2 linked regions of the Oreochromis niloticus genome follow. The protein of the gene in region 2 binds, or shares a complex with, the protein of the main gene of each other region. Links are inferred from orthologs where the notes say so. Each region holds a gene or a part of one and is shown on either strand. Other genes may lie near its edges.

Region 1 (16,386 bases), on a different chromosome or scaffold from region 2:
GATGGGTTGGTGCAGGAGGGTGGATTTGGATGACAGGGCTTGAATAGACCTCTATTCTTCCCTACGCTGGCTTCTCTTATCATGCAAAACAGGCCCGTTCAGCCTCCCAGCCATCCGTCACACAAAGAAAGACCATGGCAGCCTTTTTACAAGCCTCACACTCACATAATCCACCCACCCCATCCCACCATCTCTCAACCCTGCGATCCAACACCCAACAGGGAGCGAGTTGGTACCCACAGTGTGCATGTGGCATTTGGGGGATGGGCACAGGGTATATTCACCACAAACAGCGCCTTTGGAAAAGGGACCACCTAACCTGAGAAGCAGACCACAAAGTAGAGATCTGCATCATGTTTTCAGGGTGTGCGGACACGATTAGGGGTCTACGGGAAGCTAGAACAGGCTGGCCGGCCATCACAGGGCTAACATTTCTCTATCTTACATCTCAGCCTGTGAGCTGGAAATCAGTCTGTGGATAAACTGTCGCTCCTCCAGAAGGCTGGGAGAGAAAGAACATGCAAATCCACAAGAGTGTGCATGTGTGCTACAGAGAGTACAGGGCTGATGATGTCAGTAAGGCTGAATCGACGTCTCCCTCTAGTGGACGGAGACGTTATATACTTGATGGCCTCCTGCAGTTTTGAAGAACCTGCGGATGGTGCGAGGCTGCTTCTCACAAAGCTTCTATTTGCTCAGAGGAAAAACACTGTATGCTTTTCTATTTCATCATTTTATATTCCAGCTTTATTACAAATGCACACGTGTATCTTTACCTTATCATAGACATGCCTTATGGCGTTACATGTTTAGTACTTTATTATGAAGAATTGCACTCTATGCAAGAGTCCATCAACCAGCCGTGGCCTCAGTAAACTGGTACGGTCTTTAGCTGCTGCACCCACGGTCGTGTGGGTCAAGCTTCCACACCTTTTCACACAAACATCAAATATCTGAATAAAAGCAAATTAATTCAGTCCTATAATGCTTCTGTTGTCTCAGAGCTGTGACTCTTTTTAATGAAGATTCAGCTCTTTATGAGCTCTCTTTAATTGGGAGGGAAAAAAGACAAGGGGAAAATAAATGATGGAAAACGCAGACACCGACACAAACGTGTCTGAAGATGTGAATATTATAAGAGTTCCAGCTCTAACAATGACTGCTCCACTCCATCGCCCACCTCACTGAGTGAGGTTTGCCACAAAAGTAGACACCACACAGGATTTGGCCAACAGAGGGCTGCTTTACAGCTTTAAAAAAAAAAAAAAGAAAAAAGAAAAGAATGTTTTTATTGTTTTTCTTTTAAAGACCAATAAAATAAATACTATACAGTATCCAATGTAGAAAACCTGATACACTGTCTCCAAAAAAAAAAAAAAAAAAAAGGGAGGGGGGGAGGGGAACAATCCATACATGGAGAAAAAAAATATTAGCACTGATAGCACACACCTCATGAGATAATACGAGAGCTTAGAAACTTTTGGTGGAGTGGAAAGCAAGATAAAAATCTCTATATACTTTTATATTTGTAGTTTGGTCCAGATGACACTCCCCATTCACCTATAAGATTTGGATGAGGTAGGTTACAAAACATGACCACAACCTTTTGAAATCTTATTTCCTGTTTAAAAAAAAAAAAAGAAAAAAAAAAAAAAAAGAAAAAATCCAATCTCAACAAACTGGAGATGGAGGGTGGGGGGAACAAACAAAAAACAAAACCAAAAACCCGCTTGGATCTGGGTCAGGAGGCCAAATCGCTACAACTCACCGTTTCTGCCTGCAAGCACTCCTCATCTGAACTCTACTGTACAAATGGCTGAACAGGCCCGAATGAGAGAGGAGGAAAAGCAGAAAAAGCACAGCAGTAAAGAGGATCAAATTGGTCAGCCACTGTACAGCTCATTTTATTGATCATGTCCCGTTTACTTCCAGAACCCAAAGACTGCTGTAAACATGATCGTGGGCGTGCGATGAACGTTGTGCAAATACACTGAAGATTGTTTAAATACTGAGCTAGTCAATCACACCGCGGTTCATTCAGAACACCGTCGAGTCCAGACTGCTCGGGTCAGCCGACCGACGCTGCAAACAGTCAAATCTCACACAAGCTTCAAATCAACAGTGTCTCTTTGCCAACAATCAGCAAGTATAATGTCATCACTGGACTTTAAATGTGCTTTTGGAAACAGTTCTGGCGTGAAGCAGAGTATTTAACCGCTGGGAGAATTTCAGGGTCGATAAAAGACAATGGCAGATGGAGCGGGTCAGCAAGTTATTCTTCCAAAATCATGTCAAATGCTGAAAGAGTAAATTCAGGGTGGAATTTAGAAAAGGAAGTTTTTAGTATTCGTATTGTAGGAAACAAGCTTTTACTTCTAAAACAATCGGATATGGGTGGACAAACAGAAGCGGGGAGTCTTCTAGATCAGATCGGCCACGTTCATGGGCATCTCCTCCACGGTGGTGTTGTAGAATGTCTCAATGTCCCTCAGTGTTCGCTTGTCATCCTCAGTTATCATGTTAATGGCTACTCCCTTTCTGCCGAAACGACCTCCCCGACCGATCCTGTCAAAAACAAAAAGGTGATTAAGTTCACTGTAGACATGTGGACTAGTCCAAATCACAGGAATGTCTCTGGGTTTACTGCTTATGCTCACGTCAGACAAAGTGCTCGCTTCATTTTACAATAAATGCAACTTCAGGGTCATGTGATTAACATGCCACGTAACAATTTCGCCAAAGTTGTCTTATAGCAGTTAAATTTGCCTGTTGTGAATAACTGCAAACCTCAAAATTAACCAATCATGTCTATAAACGGTTTATATCTTCACCTGTGGATGTAGTTTTCCCTGTTGGTTGGCAGGTCGTAGTTGATGACAAGGGAAACCTGCTGAACATCAATACCTCTGGCCTGAGAAGAAACAAACACCTTTACTTACATGGCACAATTTCAATTGTGGCTCTAACAGCGAGCCAGTGCAGGAGAAAGACACTCTGTACTCTTTCAGGGAGTACTTGGGACAGTCGTCCAGCCTGGAAGTAATAAATGCATGAACTAGTTTTTCAGCATCACTCTGAGACAGGATATTTCTAACTTTAGAGATGTTGCACAAATGGAAGAAAGCAGTCTTACATATTTGTTTAATATGTGCGTTGAAGGACATGTCCTGGTCAAACATTGGTCCTCAGTGTTACTGGAGGCCAAGGTAATGCCACTCAGAGTACGAATCTGGTTAGTACAATAACCTCAGTTTGACCTGAATTAGAGCTCATCCAGGTCTTTATGTCCATCTACAAATTAAAATTAGGCCATACATAAATACTTCAGTTTCTATTCAGACACCTGTGGTACACCTGGATCTTTCTGTGCACTCATGTCCTCAATAAGTGCTAACCCCACTTTTTTAGGTGGTGGGTCCAGTTTCTATGACCCACCACACCTTTACTCAGAAGTCTCTCAGGTGTTCTACAGGAATAAGTGTAATCTGCCAATTAGTTGTGAGTCAGGGATTTCAACCCAGCTACAGTGGAGGGCAGATTTCTGCTCTACCAAGGAACTTTCAGTCCTTTACCAACACTGCAGCTGGCAGGAGAGGGAACCTTGGACTGCAAACAGCACTAAAGAAGCCGTTACATACCAACAGGTCAGTGGTAATAAGGACTCGACTGGAGCCCGAGCGGAACTCCCTCATGATCAGGTCTCTCTCTTTCTGGTCCATGTCACCGTGCTGAAAAGACGTAATGAAATCTTACAACATGTACCGAAGGTTTTTCCACACGTGTACGTGTTCACACATCACACAAATAAAAGACAAAGAGGTTCGTACCAGAGCAGAAACTGTGAAGTCTCTGGCATGCATCTTCTCAGTAAGCCAGTCCACTTTTCTCCTTGTGTTGATGAAGATCACAGCTTGTGTGATGGTCAAGGTTTCGTACAAGTCACACAAGGTATCCAGCTTCCATTCCTGAGGACCACCAGGTCAGACCGTTAGCACAGCAAGCTCAGCATAAACACCCTGATCACAGGGAAAACGAGTGCATGTTTTTCACCTCTTTTTCCACATTGATGTAAAACTGGCGGATGCCCTCAAGTGTCAGCTCCTCCTTCTTCACGAGGATTCTGATAGGCTCACGCATAAACTTCTTTGTGACCTCCAAAACATCGGCTGGCATGGTGGCAGACAGTAGGACAACCTTAAAGAGATTTACAGAGATATCTGTCAGCTACAGGCCCTTTCCATACTTCAAGCCAGGACCTTTGACTCGGCCGTTACAGCGCTGACACGAGTGTTCTCCAACCTGGATGTTGCTCGACAGCTTCTGGAAGATCTCGTAGATCTGATCCTTGAATCCTCGACTAAGCATCTCATCAGCCTCGTCCAACACAAACATTTTGATGTATTTAGAAGCTGCAAAAAAAGGAACATGTTACACATCATATGGGCACATAACACATTCAGTTAAATCCATGTTTGCACACAGATACAATGGAACTGTGTTTAGGAATCACGTGCCACTAATGAGGTTTCAGTAATGAAGTGTCTTCGGGTGTAAAGGTGCCGTATTCAGAAGTAATGAACGTATGATCATGCCTCTGGGACCCTGCTGTCATGAAAGCTCGAGCCAGCAGAACGCCGACCAAAGCGACACCACAGCAGGGACGTACAGTGTCAGCTGACACGCATGGGTTTCATCATTATACAGCACTTATCATATACAAGCAGGAACAGACACAGGAAGGAAGACTACAATGTGGGGTGAAAGCGATAACTGACCTCTGAGGTGATCATAGTGACCAAAGAGACTAATGTTCTTTCCTTATAGTAACAAAATTTCAAACAAAGTAGGATTTAACTCCCTCTCACGAAGACTTACAAAGGTTTTTGCGAGTTAGCATGTCAAAGACGCGGCCGGGAGTTCCCACCACGATGTGTGGGGCTTCAGCCTGCAGTTTCTGGACCTCACTGCGGATGTTGGTCCCTCCAATGCAGGCATAGCAGCTGGCGCCCATGTAGTCACCCAGGGCAAGGACCACTTTCTGAATCTGGAGATTGAGTCAAAGACCAGACATTAAGCCATGCAAAAGGCTATATGAGAGATGCTATTGCACAATATGTCACAAGTGTTGGGAGAGGCTGTGTGGAAGCCAACCTGCTGAGCCAACTCCCTGGTGGGAGCCAAGACCAGAGCCTGAGTGCCTTTCAGCTCCACATCAATCTGCTGAAGGATGGAAATGGCAAAGGTGGCAGTCTTCCCAGTGCCAGATTGGGCCTGAGCAATCACATCGTAACCTGAAATTAAAACATGTGCAATTTAGTATCCAGGGAATTCTTGGAAATGTTAACTGCTAAGTAGTATTAGAAACAGACAGTATCACATATTGAAAGCACTCTTACCCTTGATACAAGGCATAATGGCCCTTTGCTGGATAGCTGAAGGTTTCTCAAAACCATAGGCATAAATTCCCCTGAGCAGGGTCTCCCGTAGATTCATCTCATCAAAACTATCCACAATCTGGTTCCAATTGCTCTGGAAAGGTTAGAAAGAGTCCCACATAGGTCAGTTAACTACATTCTGAACCTACTGCTGTGAAAAGAACATCAGTGTTTGTGGGAGTTTCATATGAGACACTTACCTCAATGATCCCATCTGGCTCCATGCCTTCAGGGCCATTGTCTCTGTGAATGACAGAAACTCACGGTTATCATTGCTTTCCAGCTACACTTGTAAATGACCATAATGAACTAAATCCCCTCTGCCCACGAATAATGATAATAAAAATAAAATCTTCTGTAGCACAAAAATATCCCCCTTTAAGTATACGTGCTGATATAATCATTACCAGGCTCCACGTTATATCATTCTTCCCAAACTTGGCGTGAAAAAAGAAGCCTTCGCCCCTTGTGCTGTGACGCGAGGCCTTGTGGAGAGGCCGCCATTTTTGCTACATACAATCAAGATGGTCGTTTCTCCATTCAGGGGAGGAAGAGTCAGGGGCGGGAGGACGCTTTACAGAGGAAACGCCGCCACGTCGAATGTGGCCGACTAGTCGACAAACTCCGACATCTTTGTGTTCAAAGCGAACGGATCGTTTAGAGTTAACCGCGATGCTAAGAGGAAAGCGGTAGAAGAAGCCTCGCGGCTTGCCGCCGAGGCCTGCTCCGCATTAGCCATTAGCAACAGGGCCTGCTAGTCTGTAACTGACAAAGTCGGCGAAAGCAATTGTTCATTTAAACGCGTAAGGCACAGCGCTTTGTGAAGGCAGCGTACAGCTCCACCACATGCAGCGCGTGTAAGCGGAAAAACGTCCATTTTCAGCGGCCTTAAAGCGGCCTTTGTTCAAAACGCCGACCATCCGTACTAAGACCATGTGACTCCACCGAACACCACGAAACAGCATTAATCCACCTTTACAGACAAAATAAGGTCAATCAGGTGTATTACACCCGAAAGTGTCGTAGTTCCGATCTTTTGGCTTCAATATCAAGTTACTACAAATGAAAAGAGGAAGAATTTTTAAAGGCCTACACCAGGCTTGTTCACGTGCTGTCGCCGGATGCCGATAACGACCGCAGTCAGTATTCACATCTGAAGCATTAAGACTAATATAACTTCTGACTAGCATGACTTTAACGATCTAAAACATTAAATCTTATTTCACACTCGTCTCCTGAAACGCGAAGAGTCCTAATGTTCATCTAAGACAAAAAGTCCTCGAATGTTACTCGACTACAAAACTCCGTTAAAAATGTGCATTCTTGAGAACATCGAGTAAAAATATGACGGATTGAAAGTGAAAATAAGCCCTAGAACTCACAATTTATGCGACCAAAAGTAGCCTTCCTTACCTGTTATCATATTCAGCCGACATTATTTCAAAGAAAGAATCCGCAGCAGAAATCTCTTATATAGGTTATGCGCACAAAGAGGCTTTCTCATTGTAAAAGCTCACCGTCACTTAGCTGTGGTCCCGCCCACAGGCATTTGCGATTGGACGAGCTCTACGTCATGTAAAAGTAAGCAGACCCATGGGGCGGACCGTTTCGTTTACAGTATGCTCGTAATTCACGCTCGTGCCCGAGTTCTTTAGCCAAAGAGGCGGGGTTTCAGTTTTTACGGAATCCGTTGGTGACGCAACCGGGTTTCTTCAGTCCGCCTGCCCAGGTGTGTCCCCGCTGCTTTCCTCAGACATTTACAAGCGCCGAATAAAAAATAAATGCAATTTTTTAATTGGGTCATGTAATGTCTTAATGTTCCAGCATCACGTTGAGTATTTACAGCCTATCAGAGATGAGTCTTGTGCGTAATATGCATGGATCACTCAACACACTGCTCTTTAAATGTATTCATACTCTATCACGGGAAAGAGTTAGGGTTAAAAATAACTATTTCTGTTGATTATCTCAATTTTTTTACTGAATCTGGATGATGGAAAAATCTGATGAGAGTGCAGTAGGTTAGTTCCATAAATGTAAATAAATAAATAAATAAAGCTTGAAAAACACATTTATATAATAGTACTTTTTAAGGCTTTAGAGAAACATGTGAAACAAACCATAACCACAAAATGACACCATGAAATTAAACTGAACATTGTCCCAGTGACAATAATGTGGCATCTGTACCTGGTTTAGAACTTCTCTCTTTCTAAGTGCCATGTCTTATCATGTATATGAAGAACTACCATGACCGTTTCTAGTCTCTACATGTGCTGAGAATCATTCAGATATTTGCTCTGAAATTAGGTTTTATTACTTTCGTTTAATGTGTTTTTTATTTCTGGATCTAATATTCTGTCTCTCTCCATTAAAATTAAACTACCATAAACAACTAGCCTGCTAATTTCTTTGTGAGCAAAATTTCACCCACTTTCTACACAGATCGATGCATTTTCTTGGTGGATTCTCTCATCAGATATGAACTGCTTTTCTGTATGGGGCCGATTTTGACTTCACATCATGTGGACTGCAAAAAAAAAAGCACTTGGGTTTTGGTTTTGGCTTGTTCTCTTATATCGGTGCTTATGTATTGTCTGAGTGTCGACACCTATCACTCAGGAAAATACTGCAGAGGCTTTCTTCACTTTAACAGCCGTTAGAAAGGGACTGTGAAAAGGTGTTGTGGCAGTGATCGAAGCGCCCATTACAGCAGGTATCAGTGTGAAAGGGTCTGCAACCATCCCCTCTGCAAACAAAGAGCTGGCTGAAAACCTGATACTGCAGGTTAATGAGGGACGCATTCAGACCCCTCACCCACCACATCCTGATAGTAGTCACTGTAAGGCCCCCTTTGTACTTTGTGGATGATGCAATCAATATAGGACTGCATTATATCCTATAATATCCAACTGTGCAAAGACTTATGCAGTTAGTAGAGTTTAGCGGCATGTTCAAGACCGTCAGCAGTGCACCCCAGCTTCTCCGGAGAAAGGAAACAGCATTGGGGAGAGTCTGGTTTGGTGCAGCCACAGCGCAGTAAGAACCTTGTTCAGAACTGAGATCACTATTACGAGGAACAAACCACAATGTGACGAGCTGAAGAAATGATCTAAGAAGACCTCTTAACAAAAACAAAACAGAGATCCTCTTTTTACTTTACTTTTTTATGAAACCCAAACATATTACCACAATTACTAACAGAGACACAGGAAAAAATGAAATGCAATGTAAATATAGTTATTTGAGCCAACAGGTCATTTCAATTCAATCTCCCACAAGCTGTTTGAGACTTGAAAGTTTGACTAGGACTAAATTACACCTGCAGAGCTTGTGGGGTGTTCCCTGTTTGCAGTGGTCCAAGGGAGAAACAGTGGGAAGAAAAGCTGATATGGAACAGTGCATCGCAGTGGAGACTGCATAGCTGTCTGTATCTGTGTGGCTGTTAAACACACTCTTTCAAGAATGCCAATGTCCACATTTTGGACAAAGGTTTGAAAGAGGAGTGAACGACCCTCTTTGAACACCGACACCGTCTGCCATCTACGATCGAGCTTTGAGATCCTTCCCGGACGCCTTAACTCACATCCTGGGCCTTTTGACCTCAGTAAGTCACATGATGGGGGGCAAGGTCTCACAATGGGTTCACCCGAAACCTTGGCTGACCCGTTTTCACACCTTGGCTCATGTGATTATGCAGAGAATCAATAGAGGGTCAACAGCCCTCTTAAGGACAATAGGGCTTAAAAATGTGGGACTGACTCTCAGACGAAACGTCTTCAAGAAACTGAAAGTAGTCCTTCCATTACTATGATCTGGACGAGTCAAAACTTACACACACACACACACACGTTTGCCACATATTTTTATTTTTAGCAGTCATAACGTATTGTAGAAGATATATAAAACAGCTCTCTTGCATCAGCTCCTTCTTGGGAAAAAAAAAAGCAAAGCCAAAAACAACTATTCACAAATTTTCTTTTGTTATAAAAAGAATAAGAGAGCACTGTATCTCCACTGTGGACATATTATGCCTGTTGTGTATTTGTGGTCCTCAACAAAATGGCTTTTTCAAAGAAATACTAACCAGAAGATCTCTAAATGAAAAAATAATAATAACAACAACAAAAAAAAGAAAGTCTTTTTTCTTGATTTTTTTTATGAAACCCAAACATATTACCACAATTACTGACAGAGATAAAACACGTTAAAAAATTAAATGCATTGTAAATATACTTCTTTGAGCCATTTCAGTTCAATCTCCCACAAACTGTTGAAGGTTTATGACTTGAAAGCGATCGAGGGGGGAAAGTCTCTATTGTGTGGGCCAGTATGAGGTGGGATTCATGGATGCTGCAGAAATCCAACTTTCCCTGAGATTCACCAGAAAAAAGTTTTACCTGCAAACATAACCATGCATTCCCACTGAACTCCAGCTGAGCAGGCTGCAGGAAAGGATTACAAATATTGTACATGGAAGTTTCACACTGTAATACACTGGAAAACATTTTGTGCTGAACAGCTCGTCCATATTGGTGGCCACAGCATGGGGTACGTTTCATTTTGCAAAGATGTCAAGTAATGACTGGCTGGATGGAAAAGTCACTGCAGCCCTCTAAACACAAACTCCACTGTGGGACTTCCTTTCATACTTCCTGGACGCAGGCTTTTCCGTACCTCAGTGCTCCCTCTCCGACCAGAAAACTAGTGGACTATCTTTACACGGATAACTAGCCCATCCCCAAAATAAGATGGCTAGTCTTGGCCTCTCACAACCACAAAGAACTATGACATGATATTTAAATCAGTGTTTTTCAAACAAACCGAGGGAAGCAAAACCAGAAAAAATAAAGTCAAACAATGTTCGCATCTAGAAGAATTTCTCTGCATGGTGGAAGAGAAAAAGTTAGGTTTGTAATGTTTATTTTCCCCCAGTCACTTGCTCCCATTTTCCTCTTGTTTTAACACTGTCCCTCCATCCTGTTAGATTTCAGGGACGGAGCAGGTGTAGCTGGCCACAAAGGATGGAAAGTAAGGGTCACACCATAAGCTTGCAGTGACACAGTTCTTTGTACATCTGTCTTCTGAGGCGGGGCATGTCCTGCTGCCCAAAGCTGAACTGCTGCCCGAGTGCCAGACACTTGCAGTACTGCAGGATAGCAGAAAAGGAAGGGTCAGGGTTAGATTCAGATACTGAAACACATTTAAAACAACCTGATGTGTGGCAGTTACCATCTATGCAGTAGGTACATGTGTTCCCCTCATAAATGCTATAAAGAAGTGAAACTGAGGCTAATCCAAACTGTCCACGGCTAGCTCTCAACAACAGGAGTTCGTGTTTATATTAGGGCTGGGTGATATATCGAGTATATTCAATGTATCGCAAGTTTGTCCACGTACGATGGTTAAAATGCTTTTATCGTAACCATCGAGTGTAGGTTCCCGCACGCTGCAAATGCATCATCAATCCCCCCTCCTAGCTGGAAAATTTTCTACCCGCCACACTGCGCTGAGCATGCGTGTTTATATGCTACCAGATGGGGAATAATATGGCGACAGTGGGAGTTTCAGAGTCGCTGTCGTTTGGATTTCACGAGGAGGATGTCGAACAACACGAACGAACTCGGCATGTCAGCATCTCCCCACACACCAAGGGAAACGTTAAATACACCAGCTGTGATTTGAGCTATGACGGCTATTGTTGAGAGAAACAGAGTCCATGTTATTGTTTATCGTTCCTGAAGCATATTCGTGGCCGCCTTCTGCTGCTGGCTCAGTTCATTTTGGTAAGAGAGTGATGAAACCTCTGCTGTTAGACAATGTGACGTTTGCTTACATGAAGCCGAGTGAGTGTTTGGCTTCGTTGTTTGTGTTTAGGCACATTTCGCAAAGTGACGTAACTGCTCTTTTAATTGTTGTTTTGGCTGTTTGCAGAAATGGTTTCTATGAGCTTGTGGCTGAGACTTGAAAGTTTCATTGGATACCACACATGTCGATATTTACATAAAAAACTTAAACTGCAGCCCACCCCCTTTGCTGCTCAAGATGTATCAATATATATCGTGTATCACGATACAGCCCCCAAAAATGTGGCGGCATTAGATTTTCTTCATATCACCCAGCCCTCATTTATATGCACAATGCAGAAAACTCACCTGTAACACAAAAGCCCCACAGTCACTGTCATTGTTCTGGCGGCCCACATTCTGCAACATTACAAATACATTAGCATTAGCAATGGTACCAATTCAACTAAAGTCTGCTTCTCGTATCATTTTTACTTAAAGTCTCACCAGAGCTTTGTTAAGTGGTATAAAGAAAAATCCTTTTACCATTTTGAAAAAGCCGGTCCATCCTGTCAGGAAGTCTTGCTGGTCTTTTTTGATGGCTTCAGCTTGCAGGTATTTGTAAATGTGCTGGAATCAAAATGAACACATTCAAAGACACTGCAGCAATTTCCAAAAACAGAGATTCTGACTTTGAGCAGTATATTCATGGATGACAATGAATGGACTTCTTGAATAGACTATATGTGTGACAGCCCGTCCTCTCCTATCAGCAACTGAATCACTGGCAGGACAGAGAGAGGAGCAGCTTTGGACCCCAACATTTGGGTTTAACACAACCCAACTGAAGACAAAAACTTTGGTCTTTTACAACAAATTTGTAGCGTTATACAATAGTAAGATTTTTTAAAAGCAACAATATTAGCTAACAGAAATATCATGCAGCTGCTCGTTTGCAACCATTAATCATTTTGACAGAAACCTTACTAAGCATCTATACCCACTGACCTTTCTTTAAAAACTGTTCAATCATCCACTCATTTCTTTTCCAAAAGCTTCCTGATCCCTACCTTTGGGCAACGCCTGTTCAAAGTCCTCTGAGAGTCAAAGTAGGTGATGGCTCGACGAGGAATGTCAACACTGACCAGCGACCAGTGGACCTCAAGGTGGATGGGGATCAACAACAGATCCTTCTGAAAGATGTCGACCTATGGTCAATAGAAATAAATGGATTACACAAGAGTTTGAGATGTACCAAAAATCTTGGTTAAGCTATTAGTTTTCAATGTTACGATGCCCCCCACCCTGTAACACTAAGCCAGCTGTGCTCCTAATGTGGTCTTAAGCAATGTAACTAACACAGAGATGGAAAAGCTTGTAAAGCGGCGTAGCGGCTGCTAGCCAAGAGCAAATTCAATTATGAACCAAACAAAGCCAGACGCTAACAGTGTGAGAAGTATGTTCTTCCTATTAAGACAAGCAGATGAGTAAAGCTGTCATAACATTTTTCCATGGGATTCTATAGGCAGTGGAGATAAACCACATGCAAGCATTTCATTGTTTTGGTTTATATTTGTTACACGTTTCAGATCAAACTAATTTTACCCTCTCACATTTATCCCAAAACACCTTGATGATCGAATATCTTTTTTGAGAATATTCTGTGTAAAACTAACAGCATTGAATATGATAATATATCATAACGTGATATTATAATATTAAAAAAATGATATATTAATAAAGCAAGGTGGGGCTGGAGTAATGTCCATGGCTGCTCTGCTGCTTCAGCACCTGGACGACTGTAATTGATTCAAACATGAACTCTGACCAACCATCAGGTCACTCTGTAAGCTTAAACACAGGTGGGTAATGCAGCAGGACTGAATAATCTCTAATATTTAATTATGTTTGATGATCTTAAAACTTGTGAACAAGACAAACGTGCAACGGGCATATCCTTGTTCAACAGAGCTGTCTGTTATGTTTCAGCTGGATGATCAGGGTCAAACAGAAACGGAGGCACGCTTTATCTCAATACAAAACTGTAAGTAAAACTTTAATCTCCAGACAGTCGTGGGATCTTTTTAGTCATCAGATAGCAAGGTTGCATAATGATGATGTGTCTTCTATGTGTATAATATTAGGATGAGCTTTAGAAACCAAAACTATTTTATATTTATAAATGAAGTGGATCTGTGGATATACACTTACAATTCAAATGTAAAAAAAAATATTCTGTTGAAAAAATAAATTGTAATTGTGTTATTTATATTATTATTCTCATGAAAACTGGGCCAGACTTTCAAATCTTAATTTGGAGAAGCAGCTAACTAAATGTATAAAGCTGATTGTTTTTTTCATTCAAACACTAAAAAGTGCGACGGTTCCTTTCAGGAGTTTGTAACAAGCTGTAACAGTATCCATGTAAAGAGAACATGCCTATCTGAAACTATACAGGAAACATCTTAAGTTTATTTTGTAACAAAGAACCTCTGAAGTTTGAAAGAGGACTGGACAACTCAGTTTTGGATGAACTCTCCATAAAGCACATACAAAATTGAAATACAAACTAGACTTTTGTCTCAACAAAGTCAGTCTGACGCCTTGTTTTTGACTAAAGATCCCAGAGAAGATGAAAATGTTCCATTGGAAGTGTCAGTAAATACCAAATTAAAAAAGCTGAACCACAGTGGCGTATGGCCTAAAGCCAAAGCACAGAGCAGACAGAGCTGTGTAGAGTTCAGGCTTTGTTACATGTGTGCAGTATTTAAACGACATGTTTGAATGAAAAAAGGACACAAACAGTCAGATCTAAAAAACAGAAACCAGGACATGAAAAATATATGTTCATTTTCATTTTGATGTCACAACTTTCTTTGAAAGTTAAAACTGAAGCAAACTGACATTTACAGCACTGAGCCATCAGAAAATGGTCAGAAATGTACCGAAACATGCAAACACACGCATGGAAATCTAAGGCAAAATACATTTGGTGAGACCAGCCTGAACTCTCCTTGGTCACGTTTGTGTAACTCATTCAAGTCTTCAGTAAAAACCTTCTGGGTTTGAATAAAGATCAGTCCAAAGTTCTTTTTTGTTCCCTTTTGTTCCCTTCTCCCCTTGAGGGCGCTACCCCAGCTAGGTCATTCCACGACTGACGCCATTTCATTGTTTTTCTATCCAGGTATGGCTTTGCTGCATTAGCTGTGTTTGACATCATTGCTGTCAGATGCTTTCCAGCTGGAACTGAATGGTGGAGCAAACTCTCAGTTTCTTCTGCATTCACAAATACTTCAGGTTTAAGAAGATCCTGAGCTGGCTGACATGCAGTCTGTGTTTTACAGATGAGACACCTACTGCACCTCTCCTGTTCATCTACAATCTGAAGCTAAAATTTCACATTTGGACGCAATTTTTAGCGTAGTTGTTGAGTTGTCTGGCACTCCTCAGCTTGTTGTCACAGTTTTCCTTGCTTATTTATTTATTTTTTATTTCCTTTAGATATACATTTACTACATCTAGTACTACTTTTGTCCTCCACTTGTCCAGTTTCTTGAAATCTTTGACAGACTGCATACAATGCTAACATCTGCAGACGTTTACAGGTAGAAGCTCTTTGGGATTCACCGTGTTGGTGACAGAACTACACGGCAGTGTTCAAACAAACCAAAGAAATCAGAACCAATAATCTGTTTCAAAACTGTGACAATGTTTCATCCTTTAAGTCCCCCAGAAAAACACTACTGCTCAACACCACTCAGGTCTTCCTCCTTGGAAGCAAAGACTTAAAGAAATGGGGGGGGGGGGGGGGGGGGGGGGGGGGGGCTCAAGACCTCTGTGGAGTTAGTAAAGTCAGAAAACTAATCTGTGTAGTTTTGAAAGCAGAGAGTTTTCCCCATTCTTCTTGATATATGATTATTACTAATAACAGCACCTTACCAGATGTGTAACATAGAGATTCAGTGTCACCAGTATGCCCACCATCACTGACAATGATCTTTGAACCGTTTACCCCCCCCCCAATACAATCATGCATCACACACAGAGTCGTATAGATTCTTTGACTCTGATATTATGTACTGACATAATGAAAAACTAATTCTTCGAAGCAGATGAAACACGTTTTCCACTCTTGTGCAGCCTGTCATGACGTTTGAAATGTGCTACTGATGGTCAGAAAGTTCTTAGCTGCAACTGTCTGAATGAGCTGTCTGAATTATTTAGGCCACCTTAATAAATTGGTGTTACATTGTACTTTAAAGACAAGAATGAATCTCTTTTATCATCCAGCTCTAACGACACTCATTGTTTTATTCCTGCATATTAATATAAAGTGTTAATACGCTGCTAAACTACTCAGAGTACGTTGGCAGCATTCACTTACATTTTTTGTCCACCGCTTGACTCCTTCGTAGCCTTTTGTCCTTAGCTTATCGTAAAAGAAGCTGTTGAAAAAATGGACCTGAAAAAGAAAAAAATGATTTTGATTGATGGCAGAAAATCATCCGTAGTAATGGGATTACACAGACCATTACTACGTGAGCAGCAAGGGACATGCACAGCCAGAGACAGGACTCAGCACAGTTTTTTTACCATCATAACATGACAGCAAAAGAAAAAAGCTCCTTAATCCATAATTGGCAGCTCGTTATACCCGGCTGCTGATAAGCCGCACACCCTGCCAGGCGTTTCCACACTTTATCAAAAACAACATCAACCAGAATTCAGACAAACTCTGTGTGAGGCCCAGGTGGATGAGAAATAACAACAAGTAAGACTGGTTTTGGAGTTTTCCAGCTGGACGAGGCTGAGCATCAGGCCTTCAAATGAATTCAAACTCTGTCTGGGTCTTTGGTTGATTAACAAGCTGAGGTGGAAGATTGCTGCCACACCACCCCCTCGGCCTGTGCTTCGAGGTTTCTGATGGTTAGAATGACTCGGGGGTGTTGATTCATTTAAACTAACATAATCATCCTGCTGTAACCAGGTAAATCCATTTGTTTATTAATTATTAATTAATGTACTAACAGGGACTTAGAAGAGAGAGACATAATGTTTAATGTTTAACATTTCACTGTTTTACTCTCTGGTGCTGTTGAGGACACCATATTGTTCTTTCTTGGTTATTTGTGTTTAAATCGTTTGCTCAAGTTTGGCTTCTTGTC
Region 2 (16,751 bases):
CCTCCATACACAGTACCAGCAAGTAGGGCTGCGTCTTTCACTTTCTCACCTGTGCTCCTTTTTATGCTTTTCTGCATTTGGTACTCAAGTACTTGTTGCCAAGTTTAAACAAGATGGAGACATGGCAGAGAGGTAACCAGCTCTCCCCTCGTGAATGATTTTTCACTTCTGATTACTTCTGTATTGACCCTAAAAACAACTCGAGCACTGTTCAAGCTTTAATGTGGACTCCGATGTAACGCTTATCACACAATTTTGGTGACTCTGGTCATCCTGAATCAACACTCTGTAGAGAAATAAAGTCCTCGTGGCTTTTCTTTAACCGCCTTCATTCATCTCATCTTTTGTCCACAACCACTTCTTGTGGTGAGGCCACAATGCAACTGTGTAGTGCATCTATCAGTTCAAAAACATGCTAAAAACCACAAGGTCACATGACTGAACACAGCATCACTCTGCAAGTGATCAGGAGGAGGTTGGTTTTTGAAAGCACCCTAGAAAAACAAGTCGTATCAGCCTGCGTCTCATTAAAGATGCCAAAACTTTCATTTTCAGACAGATGCAGAGCTTCAGAACAGGAATGTGTAGAGAGGCAGCTGTAGACACAACAGACAAACCCCCCGCCCAGCAAACCACGGCTGTACCCTTGAACCGGTTCACACTAACAAGCAGATCAAGTGAATGACTCGTACTTTGCAGCATTTAACATTACGTGCTCTCAGCAATCAGAGCAACAACAGCAGCGTTTAACGCAGGTTTATCTCCCGAGCAGCTGCAGTCACACAGCGGCGGCATCTCCACACACTCAGACTTCGCTTTGTTCCTCCTGGATAATCGCTCGAAAGAACAAACAGTGAGTTTGTTTACACGCACATCAGCATCCAAGTTCTGGTCAGATTACAGATAATGGTAACTGCATGTGAGAAGAGAAAAGTGTAAGAACACGATGCAGGTCTCTGATCGTCTGAGCAGTTTATGTGCACCAACATCAGAGTTTAAATCTGAACTCAATCCCAGGTTAAAAGTTCACCTGACTTTCCAAACCATGGATCAGATGCTTACATCAACAACACACCCCAACACCCAAACCATAACTACCACCATGACTCAAGTTTCCTGTTGCCCCACATCTCCATCCAATAAAATATAACATCCACTGCTCCCAGTGACCATGCAAACTTAAAAACCTGCACCAGCAAGTTTTAGAAACTAAACGCAACTTTAAATAAATAAAATGATAATAACACAACAGCTGTATTAGTAACTGCTGCACCTTGTTTTACTCACCTTCCTTCCTCAGGATTTAGAAACCTCAAAGTTTTCCTGTAAAAGCATTTCACAGAGCTGCAGCTGGCACTGAGCAGCCAGCACTACCAGAGAGAAACGAGGGATTACAGCAGAGACGTCACCCGGCGCTGTCTCACACAGCAGAGCCAATCGCAGCCCGGCCACGCAAACGCTGAACACACACACAAAGTAACCTGACAATAGCAGCCAGTGAGGGAGGCTGTAATATGAGCAGCACGGTGACCACTGGGCCGAGGCTCTCGGCCGTAAACAGCAGCATCCCTGACAGGGAACAAACTCAACAGCCCTTTCTGAGCTGCAGAGGATGATGGGAGATTCAGACTGAGGCCTGTCAAGCAAAATAAAGCTGCAAAACTCATCTAATGAGCACTATGGTGTATTTTAAAGTGCTTTACTGTATACTGAAGGGATTTGTCCTTACAAAAAATAGGCATTAAAAGCAGAGCTGGAGTCAACATCTCCATCATCCATTTACCTCAAAAACAAAACAATGAACCAAGAACTAAGACATTTGGCAGTTGTATTAAATTCATACTAAGGTTTGTATGTAAATAAACGAGGCTTGAATGTGTCCCGCGCACATCTGGCTGGATCTCTAATCAGCAGGTCGTCAGACCCCCGTACTGTGGAATGCTTCAACTTGACAAGCAGAGTCTGTGCATGCCTGCATAGCTGAGGGATTATCACAGTATCAACTGAGCCCTGAATCCCCTTTGCACCTGCCTTGTCCTGCTTAATGCACAAGAAACGTGTGGGATTTCTCGCTCCCTCCTCTCAGACTGCTCACCTTTCATTCATCAGCAGCTCTGAAAGGATAATGACAGGCTGTGGCTGAGCCGTTTTTAAGAAGCGACACTTCCCCCTGACGTGCAGAGCAAAGGATGTTTGGTTCAGAGAGGAGTCGAATGTGCCGCTGCTCCCCGTCTGCAGCTCCAGAGTTTTGTGGTTGGAACAAGACGACGGGCTAATAGCTCGTCTCGTGTGTTGGACGCCTTCGTTTCTGATCTATATGCACCACAAAAGGGAGTCAACTCCCAGCACCTGATCCACCAGACAATAGTTCTTACTTTCAGTTTTAATAAAGTTTCCTCAAAGAATTATGAAATATATTGTAGAAAAAAAAAGTCTCTGTGAATACGAGGAGAGAAGTTAGCAACAGTCCTTCACCAGCACATGAACCAGTTCTCCACCTGCTGCAGGTGCTCGTGCTACACCTGTAAGCCACGACGGTGCAGGTCAGGGAGCAGTTTGCTAAGGTCAGCAATGGCTGAACTTTCAGAGCTTTTCTGGGAATTATCTGCTCAGAAAACTGACAGCATGACTTCATGGACAGATGTCAACGTTGTTTAAGAAAAAAGGCTTAAGTCACCGACTATATGCGGTAAACAAAAAGTTCCTCGACCACCTGAACAAGTCTATATTAAAGTATTTCATCATTCAGATTTTGATTTTATGACCATTTACCTGGATTTTTATTAGCAATTCTTTGTTCTGCTCCAATAAATATAAATCATAATATCAATAATATTCAAATTTTCACCTTGATAAGAGAAAAACTGGACAAATGCCACCCAATTACTTGTACTTATTTTAATATAAAAAAGGGTTTTTAGTCATTTTTCTTAAAACACAAAAAAAACCCTCCAGTTATTTTATAATCCAAAGATTTCCTTATACATTTATTCAAGTTTTTTAATACTGACAGGTCCAAATGAAGTCAAAGTCACATTTGTTTCTATCCAAGAAGGTTAACAGATTCTTACACGACACGCCTGCACTGATCTGAAATATCCACAAACACGTGCGTGTCTGGAGTAATAAACATTTATACCTGCCCTGAAATATTTGTTGTGTTACTAGAGAACAAACTCATTTACTAAGATGAGCAAGCTGAAAACTGATTTCCCAGAATCCCACACTGGATCAGTGTGCGAGGCGTCAGCTCTACACTGGAACAATAATCTCCTTCCCCCGTGAGGGTTGGTGTGTAACGGTGTTCCCGCTCAGCCTCAAGTTCTACACACCATCACTCCTCCCATCAAAGTGAAAATTAAAAACAATCATTTATTGCAAGTCTCGTCAGGCAGAGTGCGTTTCCACGAGGGCGTCTTCCCAGCACATCATTAATTCAAAAGGTCCCATTAGCACTGCAAAGATGGAGTTTTTCACAGCCAACACAAGCGAGGCTGACACCAACACCCGTCACATATCGGCTGCTGTCCCAACAGCTCAGGTGGTTTAAAGAAACGAGGTCTGCGAGGAGCCGAAGCTGCTCCAGAGAAACAAAAACACGAACGGCTCATTTCAACTCTTAATTTCATAATGTCAGAGGTCAACGATCCCTTATTGATCGTCTGTGATACGAAGAGCACGTGACGACTGTGAGGGAGCATGAAAGAAAGAACAGGATTAACATACCAGGAAACAAAACATCTTTGTGAAACGCACTCCGAGGTTTAGGCAGGGTTAATCCCAGCCACAGAGAGCAAAAACCTTCACTCCTTCATGTTCGCCGCAACAATTTTCTACCCAACAAGAATCTCGCAAGTTGAAGCATGCAGAAATGAATCATCGGCAGGCGGAACAACAGGGATAAAACACTATCCGAGGCTCTTTGGCGGACCGCTGACATTCATCGTGATAGTTCATGTGTCCGCTTGTTCTTATGCAACTTGTCAGTGAAATTCAAAATCACAACAACTTCACCTGGTTTGCTTCATAATCTCTGCAGGTAGAAGCAGTTTACCCTCAGCCTCGTCGGGCTGCTTCTAAACCAGCCCCAAAGTTAGGAATCCTAATTAAGATTCAAATTAAGAGGCAGACAATCCCCTCACTCAGCCTTTGTTAGCCAGCTCGCTCTGAGGCGGGCTCTTTGAAGCAGCCTTTGGGCCTCAGCAAGTTAACCTTAGATTTAATCCTGGGTTTTCTGTGTGATGAAGGAGATTCACTTCTTACTGCGGTATCTCACCGTCATATGTTTCAGCCCTTACCTGCCACAGAGCAGCTCATCTTCAAGACTAGAGATCAACAGATACACAGAGGTTATGTTCCAGACTGGACCCAAAATGTTGGCTGTGCAGAATAACTCCAGCTGCATGTCATCCATGTAAAACTACAACCAAACAATGAAGCATCTAATGCTATAATCCCCAGATACCAAACAGCTGTAGAAGAAAAGAAATAATCTCACCTCTGCTTTAAGTATCAGTCCAACACACCTCACAGGCTCCTCTACAATCTGTGCCAACACACACAAATGTCTCCCAATCCATCTCAGGCCTCTCTGACTCCATTAAGCTGCTAAATCCACAAAAACTGATTTAAAAAGAATTTCGTGCAGTCCTGCCAGAGCTTTGATCACCGCGGTAATAACTTCCTTGCAAATTTGCAAACAGCGTGGTGCCGACTTGGCAGCTGCTCCGAGCTGCTGGAAATCTGTTAGGATTCCCTGAAGCTCGCCTTTACTCAGAATCAGCTATGCAAGCCTTTTCATTTCAGCCCGTCCACTGGTGTTTTTAAAATGTTTTATTTATATCCAAAACTCATGCACTGTGACCGCTCAGCGGAGGTGCAGCACCAGTTTCATACCAGCCGATGCTTCAGAATAACTGCAACAACTGCCCAGAGTGGCTGCAGGACGGCAGCTTCACTGCAATTTGAAGCTCTTTTGCTCATCTCCAGTGTTCCCCGACTCTCTGACAAAAACACAGGCCTGACTTATTCTTACTAAAGGCAATGATGACTCTTTGCCTTAACACTATGCAGACCAGCTGGGCTTCAGCGTCAGTCACCAACCAGAAACTCCATTTTGAGCCAGTAATGGTCCCAGTTTGTTGGTAAAGGTGGTCAGAAACCAGACAATTTTCATTATTTTTATAAATAGCTTACTGCAGAATGGTTGAGATTCAGAGAAGCTCATTGACACTGAGTAAGCTGTGTCACCTTCATTATGTCCTTAAATAAAGCTGTGAGTCATTATAGAAGCTGGTGCGTTCAGTGGCTCTGTACAGTCGACTCTCGTCCAGCATTACTCCAACTTTTTTGATACAAAAAGGTTCCCAGCCCATGTTTTAGAGGGACAACAAACTCATCTGGACAGAGAATTAAATAAATTGCAATTTAAAGATCAGTGTGGACACCTCCTCAGACTCTCCAGGTTCATGCTACTTATGTGTGGAATCTCCTATCTAAGATCTCCCTGAACACATTTATCTCCTCTCAAATGCATCTTGGGCTGTTCTTGTTTTTGCATCAGGGGGCTCTTATGGTTTGAGTGGAAGATCCACTTAAACTAAAGTACATTTGATCTTGTAATAACAGGGCAGACCCCGAGGCTCATGTAGGCCCTCATCCCACACGTTAAAGCTGAGCAGCTGTAACGACTCCCTTCACCTCCAGTCCAGCCAGTAAGAGTGGTTTCTTCAGGGTTACCCAGCAGTGAAGCTTCACACAGAAAGCATTGAGCACAGATGTGCATGCACGTAAACACTAACATTTTCAAGTGAACCCAGGCAGAGCAGCTTTATTTTTAGAACCAAAAACGTGCAAGAGAAGCACAAACAGGAGACAAGTATGCACAGATGTTCAACCAAAACTAAAATTATAACTCAGCAACCCCCTCGAGATAAAATTACAGAGAAAACACCACGGCAAGGACTCCACAAAAAAACTGAACACCCACAAGAGAAGCGAGGCCAGTCGTGACGTGCAAGCTGCTCACACAGAGCTGTGGAGTGGAAGTCATTTCCTCTAAACAAACACAGGAGGGGTGGGAGTCGTAATCACAGGCGGGGGAGGCGGGGGAGGCGACACGTCTGAGCGGATGAGACCCAGCTTTGATCCTGCGGACGCGAGGGTCGTCTCAGTCAGGCGTCATTTCACAGACCTCCACCGCATGTCCACGGATACCGAGTGACCCGCCTGATGATGTGGACCCGGAGCGCGACTAAGCCTGAGGTACCAAGTGACGCCGGGCTGCACCGCCGCCAGATCTGCTTTAATGTGTTTGTAAGAGAGCAAGCCAATCACAACCTGAGATATTAGCAGCCTCTGGGTCAGCTGGTCAGCAGACGGGCTCTCAGTCTGCCAAATTCTCACTGGCAGTGCAACCGCAGTGTTTCCTTCATGAGGAAGAGAGCATTAAAAATCAATAAGCTTCCAGAAATAACATTTTTAATCTCATCTCCAATTTATTCTTATGAAAATATTAAACTATAACAAGCTCCCTGCAGTGAAGTAAAGAACACCTGAGCTGACAGAGACACTGATATGACCCTTTAACCACCTTAAGGTTAGTGAATGACTCACTAACCTTCAAACCCCATTAAAGCTGTTAATCAGTGCTACAAACAGCAACAAAGCAGCTTTGAGAAACAACTTTGCAGAAAGTGAGATGCTTTCTGCAAAGCCACAAAATGCGAGGCATTCGGGGTCCTGAAGGAATGCTTTGTGTGGCCTCCTGGATGAAATCTGCACTTATTATCCAAGCGTAGAAAAATGGATCTTGAGATATGCAACAAGTGCCACAGTGGAAGCTTAAGAATTTCATTAAAAACACCTTCACAATGCTCATATTCTTCCTCTTGACATATCAGTTCCCTCATCTCTACTGAAGAGTGGAAAGGCCTGTGAGCCAGGAGAGGATGAGGAGCCCTCTGTTTGACCCCAGCTCTTCACCAGCACAATGGGGACCACCATCCAGGTCTGAGCCCCCCCCCCCAATGCCTCAGCTTCCCACTGCATGAAAACAGGTAGCTATGAAGGAAAAGTGCCCAACACTAGCTTCATTCAGCGGCATTTCGGGGTTGATGAGTGACCTTTAGAGCTCCACGGAGACTCTGTTGTTAAGAGCTCATCCCGCACTGCGCTACGAGGACGCGGCTGTGGAAACAGTGCCACGAAAGACATTTCTGCGTTCTTGCGCTTTAGCTGAAGGTGAAGTTGTCCGCGAGCCTGTGGTGACACCTGACTTACACTGAATCCAAGCGAAGAAGGCTCACTGAGGATTTAATCACGAGTGGGGTGTGCAGGGTAATGAAACCTTTCTCGAGGGGCGAATCCCCGTGAAACCCTCCTCCGTCTCTCGCCTCCGGTTCCCCGCTCTTGGAGCTCAAAGTTCAGGCTCATGACACCTGCGCGGCGCAGACGGAAGTGAAAAAAAAAACAGCGCCAGATTACCTGAACGACTCCCAAACACCAGCTGACTTTAAATATAATCCAGCTTAACCAGCAGCGCTTCATGGGATTGTCTCGTCTGCTCGCTGCAGGACCACCTGGCCGACAACACGCACCGAAGACACGCTCAACTCACGTATTTGATTAAGCAGAGGGCTCGTGCACGCTTACACGCGCGCACAGAGACACCTGGGAGAGCTGAAACAGTTTAAAACACACTTTGTATTAGCAGAAGCGACTTTAACTTACCCCACGCTAATGCTTCCCGGGCTCCTTTAGAGGTGCAGCTCCTTTCCTCGGACTCCTTTCTGTGCTCGGGGTCGGAGTCTCGGAGGGTAAAAGCTGGGTAATGCGTTAACTTTGCGCAAAAGTGTGCAAAGCTGCAGTCTGTGCCCGCCGCACACGGAACGTCCCCTCTGCGCCAGCAGCCTCTTTGTACTTGTCCGCTCGTGCCACAGCTCTAAGTTAACCCGCGGTCATGCGCAGTCGGTGCCCTACCAGGAGCCCAGTCTGAGCTGATGTGAAGGTCAGTTAGAGGCACAGGTGTTGCTTTACCTGCGCACACTGCTCGGCCTACTTACACTAGCTGAGTCACGAAGAGCAAACAGCGCGCTCCGTGACTCAGCTTCTGCTTTAAAACTCAGGTAAACGTGTAGGTTAAAGCAGTTAGCACATCGTTTGCTAACCAGTGACTGCACGTTGTGTCGTAAAACTTTGACCACACAGGGGGAAAAACATGTACGTTACAAAGTTAAATGACGTAAACAAATATACATTTTATAGTTTTAACTTACTATAACTAACGAAGATGTTCTTCTTCCGCGATACAATATAGTGCTCGGGATGATAGAGGAAAGCCGTTTCGGTTGGCGCATTAATATCAAGTGTTTTTAATTGTTCTGTGTCAGTTAATCTTGTTGGGGTTCATTTTTAACCGTTTTTAAAATACTTACACTTTCAAATAAACCTAAATATCTAGCGCAGACACACGAATATGAACATGTACATAAAATTATCAATTTTTCAAAGATAAATGATAAAAACTAGTTAAAGAAACGCATCCTCAATGCTTTGCACAGTCAGCGTCCCGCCGCAGGCTCTGTTTGTCCGACAGCGCCATCTTGTGACCAGTGACGTTAACAGCGTGAGGCAAAGAGAAGCCCCGAATCTAATGTGGTCTGTGCAATAAACACGCAGCACTGACATCTGACTGTTTACTTTCATCGCACATTTAAAGCCAACGTCGTTATTTTGTTTTCATTAGAGAAAATAACTGTAATTAAACCTGATATAGATCTTCTATTTGCACGGCCACCGTTGGCACCTTTGTCCGCCAAATAGTTCATACAGCTTAATAGCATAAACCGCAGTTTACAAATGTGCAGCCTACAATGATTTATGTGTAAAAGAGTGAGTACACAGACGTGTGTCTACACACAGAGCAATTTGATCTCACCTAAAAATATTTTTCAAATGGTAAATATCAAAATTTGAATAAATGCTTATAATTACGCGCCAAATTTTAATTTAATGTATATAAATCTGATCGTTTTCACCTTTAAACGCTATCTGTGCTGCAGGACAAACGTCTAAAACTATCTGTGACATTATTTTCACAGATTGTTAAAAATGCACAGATGACGTCACATGTGCACGTGGTGGGGTTTGAGACTTTTCACGCTGCCGACCCACAAATGTAAGCTGCGTTTAAGTGCTAGTGCAGAACTGGGCCAGATGTCCCAGTTCTGCACTATTAATAGTGACTGGATTAATATGACTTATTAATATGTGACTGGATTTCGTCTTCTTTTTTAAATACAGCGATGTTTTTGTTGTTTTTTTCCTCACCCTTCGACTACAAAACCTACATCTGTCAATCACAGTCTTCATATGGAAGCCCAAGAAAGTTAACATATGGTTTAATGTCCTGCTGATGCTACAGGTTGGATGCTGGACGCAGGAAAACATCTCTGAAGTGAGTTCATGCTCACTAATCTCTTGAATATTTGGGATATAGATATAATCCCGGTCATCTTTGATAGCAGCGGACTGGCGCTGAGAGCTTAAGGACTATTAAACAGTCAGTCATCTTTATCACTTGATACTTGTTTGCTGTTCCTGAACTGTCAGTATTTTGTCTCATCACCAAGTAAACAGCTTCCTGCTCTCAGCTCATCAGGTTAGATGAAGCCTGGAGATGGTGATGAGCTCCTAGTGTTTGTTTCCAGTTTTAAGTTTACAGATATCATTTTTGCTTGAAGTACTTTGAAGTCAGAGCGCTCGTCAGCAGTGAAGTATACTTTATTACTGGTTCGTGTTACAGAGCCACGTGAGATTAAAGGCTGAAAGATTGTGGTACTAATAAGACAAAATGCTTCATCTGACTCTTTTCATTACCCTTAACAGTCAGGTAAAGAATACCAGGTCTGAATGTCTGCACTGAGTGAAAATAAATTATTATGAGTTATATTTGTGTTGAGATTCAGTGAGTTTATTCCACTGCACTGAACTGAAAAAGCAGATTTACAGTCCTGAAATTTCTTAAGTGTCACCAGTGTTTCTTTTTGAAGCAGCGTTTCTCTGTATTTTTGTGGTTTTAAGGGCGTCAACTGCATGTAGAATATACAGGTATGTTTAAGCTGTTCCCCATATCATTCTGCAGCGCTCGCAAAATTTCAAAATCCCTGGTAGCCCTTCGGGCAGGCACTCTTCAGTTTTTGGTAGCCCAAAATAAATTTAAGTAGCCCGAATAAAAAAGAGAGCAATTTTTTAATGTTTTGTTTCCTTTACAATATTATACATTAAAGTATAATATTGTAACGGAAACAAAAATTAATCAGAAAATTGTTAAATACAAATCACAACAACTGTATAAAAATCACAATCATCAACTCAAATACTTGGTTCTAATTGAACAGAAATTTCTATGAACTTGTAAGAACTGTGTAGACCATGAATCAGTCTGTGTCAGATCCTGAATCTGAAATTTCCACTGAAGTCACGGGTAAGGGGTGAGTGGAACCAAGATCGAGGCCATTTGCTTTTTGAAGTTTGCAAAAACTGCTAATTTGGCCAATGGTGGTTCACTCTTTGCAACATAGTACGCTTTTGAAAGATTTTTCAGGACTTCTGCTTCTGCTTGGTTTATTTTTAGTATGTTTTTTGCAATTGCTGTTTGTTCTGGGAAAGATATTGCAGACTGGGTGTTATGGCCCTAGCTGGGCCTGTTAGGATGCCTGGGTCGTTGACCCAGGGCTTTTGAGTTTATTATATTATTTATCATTTCTAGTCTTTGGTTTCTTTCTTAGAGTTCCGTCTTATGGTTTATGTCTGTGTTCTATAGTTGCTGTCTCCCCTGTCGGCTGTATCCCCTTGTTAAATTCGCGTCTCTGTGTTATGTTTCCTGTTTTACTTTGAAAGTCCTTGTCTCATGTAAATGCGTCTGGTTGTGCTTCGTTTGTCTCGTTAGGCCTGATTTGCCCCAGCTGTGTTTCCCTCCTGTTACCCATTCCCTGATTGCTCCCTCTGTGTATTTAAGCCCTGTGTTTTCATCAGTCCTTGTCGCGATCTACCCTTATCTTGCTGTGTGTTCTGTCTATGTAAGTGTATTTTGTATTCTTAGTTTTGTTACACTTTTGAGTTCAGCATTAAAGCTGTTTTGAGTTCACGTCTGTCTCCGTAGTCTGCACTTTGGGTCCTTTTCCTGTCTGAACACAGCCTACACATAACAGGGCCTCCTGAAACTGCCCTTGTGTGGGCGTGGTGTTTTTCCCCGCCTCCTCCTCTCTTGCCACTCCTACCCCCTCTGTTTCTCTCACTCTCCTCTCTCCCCAGGACACAGCTGCTTTTGATTAGCCTCGTTTGCAGTATAATGCATTTCTTGCGTTTCTCATGGGTTCTGATGGGGTCTTTCTTAAAATTACTGGTCCCAGTTACAAAGGCGCTTGTCGACTCAAATGAAATGAAACTCACAACACACCTGGCAGAACATCATGTTATTTAGCTCATCATATTCCAGCCACATAAATTCTTTTGTCCATGAAACCAAAAAAGCTGAGCTTTCTTTTTGTCTCATAGTCTGATTTGTCATAACTTTTCCGTTTTGTGGTCGGCTTTTCATTGGCTGCCCCTTCTTCACCCTGACCTGTCTTATTTGGCTCAGCAGAACTAAAATATATATCCTGCTGCTTTTACACACGTACTTACATAACGGTCAGCGATTCTCTGCACAATCAACCTCTCACATGTTTAAGCTTGCTGTGGGAGATTTCACTTGTCAGGTTTGAATAGTAAGCTAATGAGTGATAAGACGATGTCAGAGGAATTGGTGCGCAATTAATCGTCACTTACCAATCAGTACTGCCGCTCTCTACACACCGTTCGCACGATCGCAAAGTGAAAGCAAAAAACAAGCGCAAATTCAAACGCGATTTCAATATGTCACATATTGACAGTGGCTCATCGATGCCAATAACATAATTACTCAGCTACATTTGCTAAAGAAAATGCAAAAGCATTGACACATATTTTCCCTTCCTATGATAGCCCGACGGGCAGGGCTGAGATAGATTTTGGTAGCCCGACTGCAAAAATCGCTGCCCCGGGACGTCGGGCTAGCGATTTTGCGAGCCCTGATTCTTCTCTTCTGACAGTGTGACCCCAAATATGTGTTAGTACTCTGGGAAACAGTGTTTTGTGGAGGATCAGATTTCCTTCATGGTTCTGACTCGGTCTCTTCTAAACTACACAAACATCACTGTGTTTCCATGTGTGCGTGTAAACGGGCGTACTGTTAAACATGATGGATTTTATTGAATGTGCAGCTTCATCACATTTTTCCTTTCCTCATCGGTTTTATTGAAGCACATGATGGACAGCTTGCTTGTGAGTCTTACACCCTAAAGCAGTATGTGGTAAAAAATGGTTTTCAGCTCCATTGCAGCATCTTCAAGTGTCACAATCGCACAGTGTTCAAGAGGAAGGTTAGAATTTCTTACAATAAGTAGAACATCAGAGCATTGGACTAACTTTTAGAAAAATCTTTCACACTCGGCGTTAAAACAATGCAGACATTAAAACTGTTCTAACTGGAAGCTCATCGTACTACCACATACGGGACATGAGTACTAATGTCTCTGCACTGGGTTGTTTTAGCCTCTTCGCGCTGACTCACAGCGTGTTGTACAGTCAGTTTCATGTTTGCATGAAGCGTTTTCACTTCACTCGGTGTTTTCTGCATACTGGAGTTTTAGGAGTTCAGATCCTCATCACTCCCATACTTCCGTTCGACGTGATGGTTTTATGACTTCAGTTGATTTGCATAAGTTTCGCCATTCAGACCCTGACTGAGGCTACGTCCACACTAATGCGTTTTCGTTTGAAAACGAATCGTTTTCTCTCCGTTTTGGCCTCCCGTCCACACTTTCTAAAACGCTGACGTATTTTTAGGCTACGTCCACACGTACACGGGTATTTTTGAAAACGGAGATTTTCCGTTTTCGTTTTAAAAAATAATCCCGTCCACACGTAAAGGCAGAAATGAAGGAAAACGCTGCTAGGAACATGCCAAAGCAACAGGTGGCGCTATATTCCTAACCGTGTAGAAATGTTGGCCAATCAGAAGTCTAGAAGCCTCGGTGGGAAATAGTAAACAAAGATGGGGCATAGAAGCAGAACCGAGTCGTATGTGTGGAGGGACAGTAACTATGTGTGTATATGTAAGCATTTAAACACTGCAGAGAGTACAATTAACAGTAACAGTATTGTAGAAATTAATTTCACCGAAACAACAACGTGGCGCACACTGTGACGTCAAAAAAGGCGCACACCTTTGACGCTGTGTTTTCTCCGTTTTTCTCGTCCACACGTAAATGCAAAAACGGAGTTTTCGAAAATATCCACCCTGGCCGGAGTTTTTAGAAATCTCCGTTTTCAGTGACCGAAAACGCCGTTTACGTGTGGACGAAAGGTGCAAACGCATAGAAAAATCTGCGTTTTCAAAAATACCCGGGTACGTGTGGACGTAGCCTTAGTCATGTGATGCAGTCATGTGACCAAATAAACAAAGCTAGCGGAGTCCATTATACAGTGGTTGTTTTGATTGCTCTCAATTTTGACAGCCCTAAAAAAGATGAAAATCAGTCTGTACATGCTCCAGATAGCTTTTCTTCAAATTCTTTAATTCTCACTCGCTTTTGCGCATGCGCAGGACTGGAACGTAAGCGTTTTCATCCGTTTCAATGTGGACGCACAACTCTGTGAAAACGACTGAAAACACGTGTGCACGCGGAGCGTTTTCAAATCTATCCGGGCTAGTGTGGACGTAGCCTGAGGCACTTTCGTAACCCCCCTCTGCAAAACTCGTCAGAAGTATGAAATGAGCAGGCGAGCGTCTCCAACAGTCTGCAGCCACTAATCTTTCCAAAGAGAAAATCCAGGGCAACACGCTGAAAAGTTCATGTGCGCAAGAGGAATGTAAACGCTGACTATCGTGCGCAGAAACAATGCGTGTCCGCACTCCTCGTATCTGTGTCGGGCTGTCGCTCTCAGGGAACAAAAGTCTGAACTCGGGCTTGTGCAACTCTCTTTGTTCTGCTCATATCCTTGTGTTTGTAACACTATCGTGTCATCGCTGCACAGCTCAGTGTACACAGCGGGGCCACACCTCTCCTCTGCCTACATTCCCCCCACGGCTGTCCACGCGCAGTTCCGCGTTGCTGCCGCATTTAAATCCTGCAGAGTTTCCTCAAACCCGCAGTTCCAGCGGCTCACCCGGCACCATGTCCGACAGCAGCACCTTCGACACCAACGTGGTCACCGTGACCCGCTTCGTCATGGAGCAGGGCAGGAAGGCCAAAGGCACGGGGGAGCTGACCACGCTGCTCAACTCGCTGTGCACAGCGGTGAAGGCCATCTCCAGCGCTGTGCGCAAAGCTGGGATCGCCCACCTGTGAGTGAGCCACGTTACACACGCCGTTAGGTTTGGAAGTAGTAGTGATGGGTCCAGCAACACTGGCGCACCGGTGCATGTATCAAGCTCACAGAGCGAAGCCTGTATCGGTGCGTGTGTCGCGTTAAGAAAAAGTCACGTGATCGATACAGCCGCTGTATCGCTCATTGCAACGCTCCAAACTGTTAAAGGTACCGCATCCGTCAACGGAATGAGTCGCCACCCAAAAAAACTAAATTACTCTCGCAAAGATAAAAAAAAAAAAAAATGCACATCTCTCCATAATAAAATGGAGCCCGAAAGAAAAAGAAAAGTTTCTGCTGTGTGGGATCATTTCGATCTTTTAACTGGAAATAAGGTAACAGTTTGTCTTTGTTTCAGTGTAATCTATCAGAATAGGAAAAACAGCAATGTGACCTGCAGTGTAAATTATTTATTTCACTTTATGCAGGTTAAATGTTGCATCTGTTCTGCGGAGCTTTCTTACACAAACAAAAGCACCTCCTCAGTGTTTAGGCATTACAGAGCCAAACATGAAAATGAGGAGACAAACACACTGAGAATGAACACAGGTCGGCCTATGTAGACACTGAGCAGCATTATCATCATTTTTTTTTATTAATATGTGTTTTATTATTTTGAAATCAAGCATCTAGGAAGACTGTTCTGGACCAGGCAGTCCTGATTTTTATTATAAAGGACTGCCAACCCCTTAGTATTGTGGAGAGTGTTGGAGAGAAACATTCTAAGATCAGAGGATCCTTTAACGTACTGGGGGGAATAGGAAGACATCTTATCTTAACCTTTTCCACCTGGCTTTACAGTTTTTGTGTACCCCAGCTTCATCTGTGCCTGTGAGCGTGAGTTTTCCAAAGCTGGGGAAAACGCAACAGACTGAATGCAAAAACATTGGATAAACTTATTTTTTCTGAATAGAAATTTATAATTAACTCTGAGTCAATTACATTTAAATGGGTAATATTACATTCACAATACTTTCATTTTAATTTTCACTTAGTGTCATTCATAATATATTTTATAGATGTCTACAATATTTGAAATGTAAACGATATAAAATGATTCCATGGAAAGTACAATACCTTACAGTGTGTACAAGTATGACTAGGTCATTGAATCAGTGTCTGTCTCAAGTAAGTTCCCTGCAATGATATTTAAGGTCCAGCAGGTGTCAGTAAGGAGCAAAACAGCAACACTGTGTCGACACAGTATCGATACAGTTTGGAGAATGTGCTGAAACGCTTCACGAGGCCTCATCTACCCATCACTAGGAAGTAGCTGTTACGGCCCTGACGCGCACTGTTCCGTACTTGAATGCAGCGCTGTCTAAAGCCCTCAGCGGCACGCATCCACGTTGGCTCAGGCTGTTTAGCAGGAGGCCAGGTTCTCTGCGCCAATCAGAAAGCGCATACCTGGAACAGACACGCCCATTTTATGAGACGTCCTTCGGTCCACAGGTGGTTATTACTGGGGTACTTGTGTTTTTTTACCCTGAACGGGTCGGGGACCGTGCCAGCCCCTGTTCCGGGCTCACTTTAATATCTGCGTTTCTCTTTATTTCATCATCGCCGAGTTTAAAACGTCTCCGCTGGTTTATGTGAAATAAGAGAACATGTTGCATGTTGTTCGTGCAGAGCTGTGTTTCAGAAGTGCAGCGTCACGCTTCTGTTACTCTTATTTATTCAGTCTGACTGAACAATGAAGTGTCTGTGATTTAATTCCACCCAAAGACTTTTTATTCAGTATCCAGAGCAGCCACAAAAAGTAGTCCCAGTTTTACACAGGCAGGCTTACTGCCTGTCCCTTGAGGGAGGGTGTGTGTGTGTGTGTGTGTGTGTGTGTGTGTGTGTGTGTGTGTGTGTGTGTGTGTGTGTGTGTGTGTGAACAGTTTTCACGCTCACTTGTTTTGCTTTTTTCAGTTACGGCATCGCCGGCAGCACCAATGTGACGGGCGATCAGGTGAAGAAGCTGGACATCCTGTCCAACGATCTGGTCATCAACATGATCAAGTCATCGTTCACCTCCTGCGTGCTGGTGTCTGAAGAGAATGACAAAGCCATCATAGTGGAGCCTGACAGGAGGGTAAGTATGAGACAAGACGAGATATTTGAGACTTAACACTGTTCCCTAGGAACCCACCGAGCCTGAAAAACCTGATCTTAATTGTGTGGGACGTTATCTGAAAACTGAGACTGGATCGTCCAGAGTTTTGAGGCCCGTTTATTTGAACACAGACTTTTTTTTTTAAGTTCCTTTAAAAATGAATTCCACAGCATCCAGAGTGTAACGTCCAGGGGAAAAT

What was found.
Region 1: the proteins of kank1a (region 2) and eif4a1a are in contact, whole or in part, in a crystal structure (PDB 7DDX), measured with the Mus musculus proteins. The link is inferred for Oreochromis niloticus from reciprocal best matches to the Homo sapiens genes KANK1 and EIF4A1. Residues at the interface, in NP_852069.4 of Mus musculus: Gly1168, Asn1169, Asn1171, His1175, Tyr1176, Val1178, Asn1201, Lys1202, Ala1203, Tyr1205, Met1209, Leu1210, Leu1213, Ala1214, Ala1215, Gln1240, Ala1241, Leu1248, Ser1251, His1252, Arg1254, Asp1273, Glu1274, His1285; in NP_659207.1 of Mus musculus: Lys99, Val140, Arg141, Val144, Gln145, Lys146, Leu147, Gln148, Met149, Glu150, Ala151, Arg168, Arg169, Tyr170, Ser172.

Annotation. Positions count from the first base shown.
Region 1 is NC_031967.2:1,644,605-1,660,990, reverse strand, and holds eif4a1a (eukaryotic translation initiation factor 4A1A), read right to left. Parts: upstream 6,990-16,386; 5' UTR 6,872-6,989; coding exon 6,849-6,871; intron 5,679-6,848; coding exon 5,636-5,678; intron 5,530-5,635; coding exon 5,397-5,529; intron 5,292-5,396; coding exon 5,152-5,291; intron 5,045-5,151; coding exon 4,876-5,044; intron 4,703-4,875; exon of another isoform or gene 4,562-4,702; intron 4,410-4,561; coding exon 4,300-4,409; intron 4,195-4,299; coding exon 4,051-4,194; intron 3,966-4,050; coding exon 3,828-3,965; intron 3,729-3,827; coding exon 3,639-3,728; intron 2,912-3,638; coding exon 2,832-2,911; intron 2,566-2,831; coding exon 2,421-2,565; 3' UTR 1,866-2,420; downstream 1-1,865. Other genes in the region: senp3b (sentrin-specific protease 3b), read right to left, coding at 10,474-10,584, 11,591-11,641, 11,768-11,851, 12,292-12,429, 15,606-15,683. UniProt on the Homo sapiens protein: ATP-dependent RNA helicase which is a subunit of the eIF4F complex involved in cap recognition and is required for mRNA binding to ribosome.
Region 2 is NC_031977.2:35,885,519-35,902,269, forward strand, and holds the start of kank1a (KN motif and ankyrin repeat domain-containing protein 1a), read right to left. Parts: upstream 8,003-16,751; 5' UTR 7,732-8,002; intron 1-7,731. Other genes in the region: fbp1a (fructose-1,6-bisphosphatase 1a), read left to right, coding at 13,986-14,431, 16,369-16,531.